2 linked regions of the Rhinolophus ferrumequinum genome follow. The protein of the gene in region 1 purifies or fractionates together with the protein of each later gene. This does not show direct contact. Links are inferred from orthologs where the notes say so. Each region holds a gene or a part of one and is shown in the gene's direction. Other genes may lie near its edges.

Region 1 (7,800 bases):
ACCCAGATGGGTCTTAGGTATATTGGAATCCTGAACCATAAATGTTCATATTTGTGTCTCCTCTTTCGAAACAATGTGGCCTCTAAAGTATCAAATTAATGCCCTTGTTCTAGGCTCCCAGCCAAATCTCTACCACACATCCTGCTAACTAGGCATTCATTTTGTTGAACAGGCTAATCTATTATCAAACACATATCTCTGGGGACAACTTGTGTATCAGTCATTCACGGAAGCGATGGATGCCTTGAATCATTGGGATTTCTCTCTAGCTAAGATTAACACAAGGAAGGGATTTTGAATGAGAGAAGGGAGGGCAAAAGGGAAGAGAGTGATTTCAGAACTCGTTGCTTTTGGAGGAAGAAAGCTCTAGAAGGGGCATCGCCATCACAAAGGGGCAAGGGTAGCATTAAACATTAAGAGGGCAGCAGAGTCCCTGGGCACCCAGGGCTGAGAGCTCATCAACATGGGGAGAAAGAATGGAGACATAGAATGGAAAGGCATATCAGAAAGTGTTTTACAGACTTGGTGGTTTTGTCAAGTTCAGCAGCACTCTCATGTAGTTCCCTGACTGGCACCTGCCCCCAGAGAAATGGACAATCAGTCCCCTACTACCCTACTCTATGTAGGCTGTTTGCTGCAGGGAAAAGGGCCTGGGAGCCCCATTGGAAGGGATGCTCATGATCCAGTTTCCCTGGTGGGACAGCTGGTTCTGGCTAACATGTGTCTGAGGTAGAATGGAGGGAATTCTTAGGTGGAAGGGAGGAGGCTGAGGGACCCCTGGGCACTAGCAGGAAAGAATACAGCCAACAGTAGTGTCCTTCTGCTCTCTATTGCAAGAGGCTCAGAGTCCCTAACAGGTGGTCACCAATTTAACTGCACTGCAGCCCAAGATGGACTTCCCCCAAGGAGACAAAGGGAAAAGAGAGTAATGTGATAGAAACTTTCCTCATTTGCACTCATGACACTGGCTCTTCCTTTCACCAAAACCTAACATCCCAGCCCAAGCCACACCGAGTGCTTTCTGGTGCTGACTTGTTGACATTTGCATGCTGGGATACATGCAACTCAACATCCCCTAGTCGCCCATAAGCCATGTGGCATCCAGGCTCTGGAGGCGTGTTCCCTCCCTTCCCACCACCTTACTAGAGGAACAGCAGAACTCCTAGGGTGGCAGGTGGGCAAAGCCCCTCTGCATGCATTAATAACACCTATAAACACAGATTTAGGGAAGGAGGAAAGATGTGAGATCCACTCACTCTAGTGTATCCCCCCACCTCTCTATGTGCCAGGGCTTCAGATAAAAACATACTAAGATATTGGCTGTCACCCTACTCATTAGCTGAAAACTACCGTGTTTCCCCGAAAATAAGACCTAGCTGGATCATAAACTCTAATCCATCTTTTGAAGCAAAAATTAATATAGGACCCAGTCTTATTTTTCCGTAATATATTTTACTATATAATATTGTATATATTATTATATAATATTTTACTATAAGACTAGGTCTAATCTAACATAATATAATATAAGACCGGGTCTTATATTGATTTTTGCTCCAAAGGAAGCATTAGAGCTGATTGCCCAGCTAGGTCTTATTTTCGGGGAAACACGGTAAGTAATGGCTACCTGATTCAGTCAAAATGGTGGGCCCAACTGTACTTTTGGAAATCACCATTGTTACACACACACACACACACACACACACACACACACAAATGGCTTTTGTGTCTTGAATAGTCATGAAATATTCAAACACTGTTAAGTACTGATCCTGGTAAATACTCTTAGTCATGAATGAAACAAATCCCAAAGGAACAGCCCTTACATGATAAGGCAAGATTGAAAATGAAAATTCAGGGAAGGCAGCAGAAAGACCAAGCCAGAATCACCCTCTGCAACTAATAACCAGGCAACTGAAGCAACTTTGGGTTTCCAGAGGCTAAAACTGCCTAGGGTTTGGTTTCCTCTTCAAATCTCCCTCTCCATGTGCTCTAGGTTTATCGTTCCTATTAAATTTAGAAAGTGTTCAAACAAGTAACTCTGATGATCAAATATTGGAACTTCTAAATGCATAGAAAAAGAGACGTGTTATTCAACCCAGTGAAACTTTGCCTTTCAAATCTGAGTTTTAATTCACTGCCATCATTATCAAGAAGACCACTGTCAACCAGCACCCCTTGAGCGGCCATTTTTAAAAATGATCTCTTCCTTATCGTGAGGCATTTCTCTGCGCCCTTTAGGACATTAGAATTACCAGCACAACTTGTTTAAGAGGAGGACACTCACACAAACGTGTGAGTGGCACTAGAGGTTCTGCTGTTCCTGCTATAATGATCATGGTTTGGCCCTCACCTAGTGTATTCACGTAGGAAAGCATTTCACACTCACCCAGCTTTCGTTTTAAGTTACATTACTAGAAGCTTTTACTTCAGCTGTCTGATCACTTGGTACAAAGTAAGTTTTCTGGATTAAGTTCTTCTGGTTGACTGATAGTGAAACGCGGATATCCGGTGACCCCTCCCCCATATGAATAAATCAGAGCACAGGGCTGGGAGAGAAGGAATTAAGTAATTAGTTGCCCCCTTTTGAAAATGACAGCAGATGGTTTACCTTTCCTAGAATTGGTCCAACAAAAGTGAAAAGCTGCAAAATTCTATGCCACATCAGGAAAGAGCAACATGTTTGTGCCATGAGCACCAACTCTTCGTTGTTCTCTGATGTGTTCATTAAAAGCACATTGTCTGAAGCCCCGGCAAATAAATGCTTGTGGAATCACTCAGTGACTATGTATAGGCCACTCCCAACTACTCTGAAAGCCCCGTAAGAAGAAATCACCTTGAACTTTTTCTATATAGCTAACTTCCCCCTGCCCCACAAGGCAAGGCACACAATAAGTATTCAATAAATAATCAATCATTGACTGATTTCTCATTTTCACCAATGGGCCTGGGAAAGAAACAGCAAACAAATGTTGAAACAGTTCACACTGTAATTTATCAGTTGAGGAATTAAGGCTCTGGGGGGGCTAGAGGGAATGCACAAGTATGAAGGTCACCCTGATAAAGAAAAAAAAAAAAAACAACTGTGGTGTGAGAAGACGACTGCTCTTAAAATGCACGCTGTTCTTATTCGCCAGAGATGACGAACATTTTCTAAAATCAAGGTTTACCAAATTGGTCCTCTTTGTTTCCCCATTAACACTGTATGGAGGGTGCCAATCCATCTTTGACACTGGATCCAAAATGTGAAGGTTTTTTTCCCCTTTTCTTTTCACTCTTTGAACATAATCCACTTGGTCCCTATCCCCAAAGCGCCTCCCACATAGGGCGGGTTGGGGGGAGCACGCTGGGAAGCCCTTGCTTTAATACTTAGCGGAACTTTGTTCTCCACATGGGCTATTTAGGAGCGTCTGGGTTTCTTCGGGGGACTCCACCGCCTGCCTGGTTCTTCTCACGCAGCACACTGGAGTCAGGGTGATGAGATTCTCCAGGGCGGTCCGGGAGGCGCTGACCATGGTCCTGGCCTCCAGCTCAGGACGCGAGCGCGGAAGGCAAGGAAGGAGATGCTGTAGGAGAGCGCGCGCAGGGCGCGGCGGGGAGCAGCCGTCGAAGCCCCCGCCCCTCCTGACCCCCAGGGAGCCCGCCGGCCTTCATGCAACCCTCCACTGCATGCCCAGAGCTGCATCCAAAAAAGGGTGGGGCACCCAGACACAGTTGCCATCGGAAGGCGCCCGGGAGGATTTAAGAAGAATGGAACCGCGGCCCATCCCCATCCCCCACCTTGCGACCCCCAAGCAGAGGATCGGCCGAACCTTTACCATCACCACCCATCAGGCCCAGGAAAGCGCGGGCAGCCTTTGTGGGCGCACGGCTGCCACAGTCAAGCCCGCGCCTCTCCATACCTTTCGCGGAGAAGGGGCGGGTTGGGTGGGGTGCGTGTACATATGCGGGGAGGGGCAGGACGGTGGGCACGCTGGGATGCTCGGTTCTCCACCGAGCTGTGAGGGGGGCGACGGAGGGGCGATCTCTGCGCCGGGTCCTCCTTCTCAAACACCCCCACCACCCAATACCAACCTGGTCGTAGATGTTCTGCAGGGCTTCCTTGCCCGAGGCCCGCCGGATCTCCACCTTCCGGCCGGATTCAACAGATGGCTCCCCACCCGCGCGCCGGCCCTGCCGGGAGTACGGTGGCTGCGGGTCGGGACCCAAGTGGGCGACGTCCCGTTGCTGAGCCACCACCTGCCCCGAGCCCCGGCCCACCGACAGTGAGTCGAAGTCGATGGTCTTGTTCTCCGAGGACCCTTCTACCGGGCAAAACATGCCACAGAATTTCTGCCGGGGCTTGGGGCTGCCTGAACCCAGGTTTTTAAAAAAGGCAGGGACCTCTTCGTCCTCTGCCGCCTTCCCGGATTGCTTCCTCTCGGCCATGGCGCGGGGGGCTCGGGGAGGGTCCTCTGCGTCCGCCCGTCCGTCTACGATCCCTAAGTCTGCCTCTCTGTGCACAACCCTCTGCAGCGGCTGCCGCTCTCTGCCTACCGCAAGGTGCACAGAAAGGAAGGAGGGCTGGTGAGCGGGCGACCCTCCCTCCCGGTCCCTCCCCCTGACCCCTCTTTTTCCCCTCCCTGCCCACGCCCCCCGCCGCCACGCGAGCTCCGGCGAGCTGCAAAGTTGGGTCTGGGAGGGCGGCCGCTGCGGCAGCGGGAGTGACAGGCTGCCTGCGGGTTCCCGGCAGCTGCAGGCGGAGGGAGGTGCAGGCGGGGCGCGGCGGGGGCGGGGCGAGGCGCTGGGAGCTCCGGCCCGAGCTGAGCGCAAGGGAGGGGGGGAGGGTTGCACCGCCCAGAGCCCCGCGCTCCGGAAGTGAAGCTGCCAGACCACCGGCTAATGGATGGGGAGCGGAGGGCCCGCTAACAGCTCTCGGCTCCAGGGTGAGTATGGGATAGGCACGCTGGGCGAAGACCCGAGGGCGCAGCCAGCCCCTGGCCCTCGCGCCCTTCTACCTACGCGACCCAGGCGCCTCTCCCCCACCGCATTGCGGAGGTAAACCGGGGGCTAGGGCCCTTTATGGGGAGGGCTCCCTCCTCTTACCTCGGGCATGAGCTGATGGATGAGGAAAGGGAAACAAACTGGCTGGCGACAAGACACCGGGGGAGAAGGGAAGAGGCCGCAGTGAGGATGGGGAGGGAATGGCGCAGGCCGTGCGGAGAGGTGGGGGCCATGTCCCGATGCGCGGGACACCAAAGCTTCAGTCTACCTACGGGCTTTGGAGGGCTGTTGGGGGCAGAGAGTGAAACGAGAAGGTTCTCGCTCAGTGCATCCACAGTTGTGGAGGGCGCACAGCACGGCAGGGAGAAATGCAGAGGCGGAGCAAATGGTGGTGGATGTGGGGTATAAAGAGACATAGGTCTGCGTGCTGGCGAGTGTAGCCAAGAATACAGTGCAAATTCCGGCCCAGCACAACTAATACATAGAGAGGGTGCCTGAGGGCGCCACGTACCGTAATTGCGCCACTGCGCCACGAAGGGCCCAGGAGAATGTTCTGATTTGGTATCTTATGCCCCCACCCTCCAAAGGGAGGGAAAGGCACAGATTACAATCCACTCCCCAAATCTCCAGCCCTTACTTGTCTGCCTCCCCTGTACCCCCGCCCCTGTTGCGCACTGCGCCAGAGCCGCGTGCGGGGGCGGTGGGGTGGGGGCATATGTGCCCGCGCAAGTCCAGTGTGAGGTAAGAGATGGGGCTGTGACTGAATGCTTTGAATTGTATGAGGCCAAGCAGGGTAACGGTGTGCGGAGACGTGGTTGTGTATGTGCGGGTAGACCAGGCGCAGCTACCTGGTTGGTGGATATCCAGAGAGCGTTTTGATATGTGCCAACAACACCGTCACTGAGCGCGCTTCATTGCTCACTCCCATCCCCACGTACTTTCCTTGTATCAGTCTTTGCCCCTGGTCGATTACAGCCCCGCCCCTTTTACTACGGTGGCAATATCCTGCAAAGACGATGCCCATCCTTTGGTGGTTCTAGAGGGAAGTCTGGGCATGCTCAGTAACGAGGGTGGGTTTGGGCTAAAAGAGGCTGTTTGCCGCCCCGGAAAGTGTGACCAAGGATTCTGTCCCATTGTCAGCTCTTGCCCTTATTAGGATTCGATGTGGATACTCTCCCTCAACCCAAATGTGAGGGATAGTTTGGTGAATGGAGTTAAATTTGGAGGACCACCAGTCACAGTTTGAGGAAGAGCCCACCATGATAGGTGGGAAGGAGTCTCCTGATGAGAAGGGGAGAAGGAGGAAGGAGAACGATACACGTGTAGGGAGCTGAGAGACCCACAGGTGGACATTCAGACTCAGCACCAGATGTGCTTCTAATTTGAATAAAGTGCTTCCATACGAATTACATCATTTCCTACTTACGGCAGCCTGTGAGAGGAGTGCTTTTCCATCACTACTTTCCAGGGTAGGAAACAGATTTAGAGAGATTCAGACGCCTTGCCTAAGGTTACTAATTAAATGATCCAACAATCCCAGTGGGGGTCTTCCACCTGAAAGTATGGTCCCTTTTCCAAATTATCCTTATGTTAGAAAATACAAAATTTTTTACATTTTTTCCATATCCAAATATTTCCTTCCGTGGACTTACTGTGTATCAAAATTGGTGGTTCAATTGCCATCTTTTTATTTGACAGTTACCTTGCAGGTAGGGACTGCATTTGGAGGAAGAAGCCATGGTAGTTGTTCCATAGACCTTGGAAATGTTTCTTCCTGCACATTTGATGCCTTTTTACATCTCATGTTTCCTCTAAAACTACAACGTGAGAGGAAGGTCACCCCCACATTGAAAGGGAAAGGGAGGCATGGAGAAGTCACTGGGCTCAGATCCATGAGGCTGCTGGGCCAGGGCATTATCCATCATTTTGCCCTTCTGGACCTCGGGCACACTCCATGCCGCCAGCACCTTCCAGAAGGACTGAGGAAATGTGCCTGTAGCAGGAATAGCTGCCACGATGGCTACAGGTTGGCATCTGTGGCATATGGACCTCACTCGGCTTGATGGAGAGTTTCAGGCCTAAGGAAGAATGATCATGGCCGCTTAACACACGCGGTACAACAGAACTGGGAGACTTTAGGAACGCTTCCCTTTTTACATTACATTACCCACTCTCCACTGGCTCTCTGTAGATATGCTCTCTCTTTTCCTTTTTTCCTCAAATGATCCATTCAAGTTCAAATGCTACAACAATACTGTCTTATTAGTAACTTAACATTCATAGCAAAAGAAACACCTATTTGTGCATTTGCCTAGCCTGACCAGACATAACAAAAGAGCATGATTCATAATCCAAGTTTAACTTATTTGGCCCTGAGATTTTCAAAAATTATTAAATGTATATTAAATTCTTATACCTATATTATTATATTATATTAAAGTATATTATATAAGTTGTATTGTTATACTGACATTAATTGGTTTTAAGTATTCGAGTGATTTCTAATTGGACTTTTTTCATCAAAGAACTGAAGCAACTATATTGTTTAGTAGATTGAATTGTGAAGGATAGTCATATTTTTTAATAAACTCGCTGACAGTCTTCATCATTGGATATTATCAAACTATAAAAATACACCATTATTATTTATGTGCAACAGGGCAGCTTGACTTGGCCAGAGCTAAGAAGGATGCAGACACGCCATTGTATGGAGTTGGGTGACATCTTCATATAGTAGAAGCTGAATAAATCAGATCATCGACTCTCATGGAACATTGGAACACATAAACAGGTATCCAGCCACATCTCCTCATATCA
Region 2 (7,471 bases), on another chromosome or scaffold:
AGATCCTCATAGCATTTAAACCAATTGGCTTCTCTCCATTTCCAGTGCCACGACCCTAGAGTAAAGTACTATCCCTTTTTGCCCGGAAAACTAAAATGACCTTCTAATTTTTTCTCCCCCAATCTACTCTTGACCATTTCTAATCTGTTGTTCTCCTCACCATGGCCAGAGTGATTTGTTAAAAATGGAAAAGGTATTCAATGATTTTCCATTGCTCCTATGGTAAATTCAAAATCTTAAACATAGTGTGGAACTGGATTACTATTCACCTACATTCAGTGCCCTTCACTGTGGTATCCGTCTCTGTTGGAGGATTATACAGCCGTGCCTCTTGTTGTTTTCAGGCATGACAAAGGTTTGGCTGATGAAAAGTGAAATGTCAGCACACGCTTTAAGAACCAGCAGGTGATTTACCACTTTTCTTTTCTTTCTGCCCTGACAATGGCTATATTCCAAAGAGACACTGCTCCGTCAGCCTGAGTCAAGAGGGAACGTGACATGAAGCAAAGCTATGGAGGGCATGTTGCATGAGAGATAAACCTTATTGTAGGCCACTAAGATTTTTGGAACCATTTGTTACTCAGCATAACCTAGCCTATCCTAACTGATACACATGGTTTATAGGCTCTTGCTTATTGCTCCATCTCATTGCACTGGCCTTTCAGTACTTATACAAGATGCTCTCTTCCATCTTAGAATATTTATCTATGTTATTTTCCCTCCTTGGAAAGTTCTTTACACCTGTTTTTGCCTGGTTAACATATACTCATCAGTGAGATCTCAACTTAACTGTAAAGTACTCAGGAAAGGATTACCTGATCTAAGTTCAAAGTACCTGAAATTCAACTTCTTTGTTATTATGTCTCTTTAAACTATAAATTCCATGAAGACAGAGATCAGGTGTGCCTTGGTAAGCATTATATTCCCAGTAAGAGGAAGGAAGGACTTCTTTTCCAAAGAGTAGCTTTTTCTGCATCTTTGTACATTTGGAAGAAAATGGCCATTCTAGCCCTAGAACCACAACAACTCTCCCCTCTAAGGCCACCAACTGATCAGCGTTCCAATGTTCTATTTCAGATTCTTGGAATCAGAATCTGGTTGGCTAAACTTGCACATGTTCTATCATGGTCCACCCAGAGTTTACTGAAAGATCTAGGTCAAGCAGAATTAACTTGCTACAGAGACCTGTTCTCTGGGGAAAGAGGCAATTCTCAGAGAAAGGGAGGTAGACTGAGTAGATATCTCAGAAAATATCTGCTACAGTCACTATAACTGAGTCCACTCTTCCGTGTTCTTGACTTTGTTTTAATAATCTTCTCAAAACTATCCTCACAGAGTATACAAGGGAACAATCCCTATAAGCAATTTCTTAAGGAAGAAACGGGTGGTGATCAAGTAGTTCTGATTCTGTTTCCCTGAGTTTTGCCTCTCCTTTGGCAGTCTGTTACTTTGATGACCACTGCCACTTCACTGTGATCTCTTAGGGGTAAAGGGCTACTCTTTTAACACTAACATAAAAACAAAACAAAACAAAAAACACAACCATAACAAAACAAACACAAATAAACAAACCCTTCCCTCACTCTCCATAATGCTTTTGGGATAAGCTAGAATTAAAAAAAAAAAAATTACTAATATTAAGGAAGAAAAGAAGGGAAACAAAAACTGCAAGGCAATAAAAACAGGGAAGTTTTTCACAAAGTGAAGTTGTTTTTGACCATTTCCCTGGATATATAGTCCTTGTCTCATTTTACTTGGGGTCTAGGGGAAAAGAGGAACCTTATCATCTGAGATTGTGAATCTGTTTCTCACCAACAACAGAGAAAACAAAAACAAAAATGAAGTTCAACTCTACCAGGATTTTTTCCTGTAATATTTCTTTGACTTTAAAAAGGAAAATAGAAGATAACACTGTCCATCTAATTTTTGTTAACGTTTTGAAACTATTTCTATGTTTGGTGATTTCTACTTCTTAAAGACCTTTAAAATATCTATGAAAAACTTTAAAGGTACCTGCATAAACAGTGATACAATCCAGATATTTTTGAGGTCTTTAACTTCTTACATGGACATGTGTTTAAAAAAGTCTTTCATCTTTTTTATTGTTAATGCAAATTAGAACATAACTTCAGGTGAACTATATTTAGGATTCCCTAAAAACATTTGCAAATAGGGACTAAATATAACACATCTGAATCAACATGCTATAGGTTTCCATAAAACTTTTTCAAGTGTGCTTCGTTCTGATAAGTACGTTCCGTGTTCTATCGCTTTTCACCCCCCTGAACAGAGACTATGAGCTCGGTAATTGTTTTTAGCTTAAATTAAACTAATTTACTACTTAAACCATCACATTTTCCAGGTTATCAAGCAGTTTTTATTTTTTCTTGGTCTCCCTTTTGTATTGTATTACTTTCCCCAGCATAACTAATCTCAGAAATAATTTCTATAACTTTAAAAATGTTTTATGTTTGTTGTTTACACTTATGTATGATATATAAAATCAAAACTATTATCAACATTTTCTTCAGCACTAGAACTATGTAAAGTTAGAAGTCTTTCTTTTTCTATGGTAAATAAATTGAGGGACCATATGCTTTGAGTCACTTTAAATGAGGATTCTATTTTAAAGTACTTACAGCAGCATGATGTAGGTTAAAACTAGCATGGGGTTGGCAATTAGGAGATTTAGGTTCAAGGCTCTATCTCTGCCACTAAGTTGCCATGCTCCTAATTAATTAAGTAAATATGGCTTATTTTTTTTCTACTTACAAGAGTTAGGCTAGATATTTTTAAGTCTCTTCTAGTTCTAAAACTCCATGTTGCTAAAATGTGAATGTTTGTTAGGGAGGGCATTTACATCCTGGCTTTTCCAAGTGTTATTTCATATATTTTAATTGTCATTTTCAACCAAGGCAATGCGCTAAACATATAAATAGTTGTCAAACTTTTTGTTATATACACCAGAAAAATTCTTTATCACACATCGTGAGTTGGAGTTCAGAAAATGTGGTCACAGAACTCCAGACCTTCAACAAATGTTTGTCAAATTAATGCGTAAGACTTCAGAAGACAAAAAGATAAACAAAAGTGCAGCATCAGCCCGGCAGATCTTACATGGAATGTAAGAGAAGTACATAAAAGTATACATGCTTCTTATATATGCCAGCTAAGCCACTCTTCGAGTAGCCATCAAATCAAACATTCCCTACCACTTTCTCTTAAGTAGCTCTCAACAAAGTCATTGTATTTCAGCCTCAAATTACCTAAAAGTAGGCAGTTGCCTAGAATATCCATTCACTGCTCAGAAAAAATAGAAGCTGTACGTTGGAGACTTGATTGGCATTCATGAATACTATGGTGTCAATTTTAAACCTGCAGTTCCACCACTTAGCTATACGTTACTAACTAACAGGTTCGGCTTGGATGTTGACTACACCAAGCAAAGTTGGCTTTTTTCCGTTCGTGGGGCTGACTCTGCCCCACCCCTTTCAGTTTAAATTCAGTTAAAACAATTCAAGAAGCCAGTTAATTAAATTTTAAACTCTGGAGTTCCACAGACCAAACCATAGTAGTTCAGCGCTTGGGAAGAGGCATCTCTCAAAGGCTGGGCGTTAAAAGTTACCAGGGATCGCAAGCCGCTTACATTTCTTAAGAAGAACAGACCACACCCCAGTTTAGCCAGCTGTGCACCTTACTGGTCCGAAAGGCGCGCTGGGGGTGGGAGGAAGCAAAAGGCAAGATTAGTGTCTCGGGTTGATGGGGGTCAGGGGAATAACTTATAAAAGTCTGAGTTCCGAAACTGTGCGTTGTGGAGGTTAGAAAGGGGCTTGTTTACGTTAGGCCTAAACTGCGGCAAGAAAAGTTTCACTGGGGAGAAAACAGAAACAGCGAGTAGGCTCCCGAGTTCTAGCGTTCACCGCGGGGCCGTTAAACGCAGCAGGGAAGAGGGCGGGTTTTCTCCTTCCTCTTCCCGCCTCCCCAGACGCAAGCCTAGTCCTTTCCCCTCATTTTCACTCCAGCCGGGTCCAACCCGCAGGCCCCACCTCGGAGCCGGGTCGGAAGCCGCCCCGCCCCCAGCCCGTCTCCCTCCTCGGGGACCCCTCCGCCCCAAGTCTCCCGCCCGCCGAGGGGCGGCGACCATGGCCGTCACGTGTCCTGGCAGCCGCCAAGTGAGGCCGCTTTTGCGACGCAGTGACAGCCAAATGGTGCGACAGGAGGAGCCTCAGCAGCGGCCGCTGCGCCCCTCACCGAAAGGCTTGAGGCGGCTCCTGGCGTCGCCCAGAGGGAGCGATTGAGCGAACAGAGTCCCGCGCGGGCGGGCGGGAGGCGGCGGCTGCGGCGGCCGGGCGGCGAGGGGGAGCCCGCTACGAGTGCCCTAGCTCCCCGCAGCTCTTCATGAACTGGGCGAAATAAGCCGCGCCTCCAGCAGGGGCTGCGCCTCCATGAATCCCTAGTTTTTGTCTTTCTTTCCCGGCTCCACACCCGCCTCCCCGGGTCCCGTCCCGCCTTCTCCCTTCGCCAGTGGCGGCCGCGTCCAGGTGCGGAGTCCACAGCGGAGCGCAATGGCGTCCAATCCCGAACGGGGGGAGATTCTGCTCACGGAGCTCCAGGTAAGGGCCGCGGCCCGGGCGGGAGGATCTGGCAGAGGAGAGAGGGAGAAAGTGGCGCGGGGTCGGGGACCGAGGGAAGCGGTGCGGCCGCCGCGCCCCTAGCCCGCTAAGTGCGGAAACTTGGGGATGTCACTCGGGAGCCGCTTCCTTCGGGAACTGGATCCTCTCCCTCTTCCAGAACCCTGGCCTGCCACTGCTTTAATTACCTACCAGAGGGACCCCATCTCTGCTTGCAGCCCGACTCTGCTCCCTCCTTGTCCCCGGAGCGGCCAGCTCACCGCCCCCTCCCGGGGTGTCAGAGCCGCCGGCGGACGCCCCTGCTGCCCCCTCTCCCCGACTGGCCGGGCCCCGCCCCGCCTTCGCTCGTACTCCGCTCCTCTAACTCCTTTGAATGACTCCCAAGTTGTTTTCTCGTTCCTCCCCTTCCCCTCAGACTCCGCACAAAGAGCGCCCCCATAACTTCCAGCCCCCAGACAAGTTTTTTCTTTCTTTTCCTTTTTTTTTTTAAACGTGTCTCACAAATGCTGGCTTCACTTCACCAGCCCTCTCCAGGTGACTGCATTTCTTTCCTTTAATGCGACGACTACCTTTTTTTTTTCTTTTTTACTAAGTGATATATATGGTCCCCCTTTTCAGCTACTCCGTGCTCAGATTCGGAAGCTCAGATGCTGATGCTTTTCAGACTTTCATTTTCCCTCCCGTTTGAACACCAGAGAAAGAGCTACAGAAGTTGTTTACAAATGAGAAAGCAGTTGACTGAGGGAAAATGTTGGGCACCACATGCCTGCAGAAGATGAGAACAAATTAGGTCCCTTAATTAGTTAAGTCTATGTCGAGTAGCAATATTATTGTTAACTACTTCCAGCTAAATATTTGATGATGTAGACACGATTTTTATTTTTAGGTCTCTATGATTTACAGGGGGTACCTATGCTACCCCTTTGGGTTTATTTTTTCATTACTTTGGAGTGTTCCACAGATGTTTACATCTGGATTGGAATTTTATGCTTGTATTTTGACTTAAACTTAATTTTGATTTTTTAATGTAGTCGTCTCCTACCTTCCAAAGATTGGAGATAGGAATTAGAAGAAAAAACATAGTTACGTTTCTTTATGTGTGTTAGGCAGTTAATTTTTTTTAAAAAAAGACTGAAATTAGACACTGAGGTATTGATTCTTGATAATGTCAAAAATGTAAGTATTGCAACTGTTTCTAAGTTTTTGCCGTTCAAATGTTCTGTTCGATACCTCCCTATAAAAGATTGCTTTATTGTGCTGTAAGCTTGAAGGCATTGTTATAATACGTGATATTTCCTCCACAAAAACAGAGACTTCAACAAGGTGTACCAATGCACTGTTGCAAATTTGGAATCCTTTGGAAATGCAAAGCTGAATTTCTTATCATTGAACATGTTGCTGTATTTTAATTACTCTTAGCCATATTAGTAATTTAATTACTCTTAGCCTTTTATAAGGAGGTCTTACAGCATACATTTGCTAATGAATGGAATTTATTGTTTTATTAATTTACGTGAACTTTTAAAATGAAGTTTGAGGCGCAATCAGAAATGTTTTCCATTGCTTATTCTTGAAATATGAAAGGTACACTTTGGTTCTGACTGAGAAAAAGCCATGAAAATAGCAGGAGCATTTTCCTTTGAATGGAGTGTCTTCAGAATTATAAAGATTCGGCATCCTTTTTTGTATTTTATCGAAAGTTGGAATAAAAGACACTTATTTTGGCACTGGACCTGAAAATATATTTTCATGTGTATTAAAATGTAGCATTTAGGGACTTTTAACAACATCAGTTTTTACATATATATCCAGGGGATTTTTCTTAGTGTATTTGACCCCCAGTTCTAATAAGTTACTGCAGTTGAACTTTATCGTGTTTATTAAAATAAGTGAGAATAAGATAAATGGTGATAAAATTTGGTTCACCGAGCATATCCATCTATTCAAACATTTTAATTATTTCATTGGGTCAAGAAACTAGTATACAGTAACTAAATATTTATCAAGCTTGCTGGTAGAACCAGTTTTTTAAAAACTTCAGAGTTTGGATTTATTTAAATTGAAAAGTTGTTTAATATGACGTTCTTAATGCTTCTCTGCCAAACTATTTTAAATATTTAAATTGTAATTTATGTAGCAAGTTTTAAAACTTGTGTTTAGTAATTAACTGTTACTTTGCCATATTTTGTCTCAGGAATACCTGCTTCACTCTGAAAGTTACATGTTACCTACTTTTAATGAAATAATGATAATTTATTTAGAAACATTGTATATCCAACATTTTAGAATTATTTTTCAAATTATATTGCAGGATTTGAAATACTTAACTACTTGAGCTGGAATTGGCTTATTGACTTTTAGTTGTGGAGAGACAAAGAAAATCTGAAACCGCAGTACTTTGTCTTGTTTATTACTATAATATTTCTATGGAGTAATGTTTAAAGTACACGCAAGTATTGATGGCTAGAGGCTTCAAAGTGTAAGGAAGAATATTTGCTGTAATTAAAATTAAAATAGGCTGTTTAAAAATGAAAACTTAATTGGCAATCTTAAATTTTTATCTCTTATAACAAACTTTTTGTGTCCCATTCATCTTATTTATTTGTTTAGTGGGAAACTTAATGAAATACTTTTATGAGGCCAAAGAAATTAAAGTTTTTCTTTTTTTTTAGTTAAATTTATTGGGGTGACAATGGTTAATAAAAGTACATAGGTTTCAAGTGTATGATTCTATAATACATCATCTATGTATCACATTTTACGTTCACCACCCAGAGTCAGTTCTCCTTCCATCACCATATGTTTGACCGCTTTTACCATCTTCTACAATCCCCCTCTCC

Evidence for each region. The genes of interacting proteins can lie anywhere in the genome.
Region 2: the proteins of PNMA2 (region 1) and PKN2 purify together in Homo sapiens (affinity purification with mass spectrometry; 3 studies listed by BioGRID and IntAct, with this or other methods). This does not show direct contact. The link is inferred for Rhinolophus ferrumequinum from reciprocal best matches to the Homo sapiens genes PNMA2 and PKN2.

Annotation. Positions count from the first base shown.
Region 1 is NC_046301.1:40,887,823-40,895,622, forward strand, and holds the start of PNMA2 (paraneoplastic antigen Ma2), read left to right. Parts: upstream 1-4,789; 5' UTR 4,790-4,925; intron 4,926-4,941; exon of another isoform or gene 4,942-5,037; intron 5,038-7,642; 5' UTR 7,643-7,800. Other genes in the region: DPYSL2 (dihydropyrimidinase-related protein 2), read right to left, coding at 4,075-4,428.
Region 2 is NC_046292.1:66,923,500-66,930,970, forward strand, and holds the start of PKN2 (serine/threonine-protein kinase N2), read left to right. Parts: upstream 1-4,463; 5' UTR 4,464-4,565; coding exon 4,566-4,613; exon of another isoform or gene 4,614-4,641; intron 4,642-4,823; exon of another isoform or gene 4,824-4,938; intron 4,939-7,471. UniProt on the Homo sapiens protein: PKC-related serine/threonine-protein kinase and Rho/Rac effector protein that participates in specific signal transduction responses in the cell.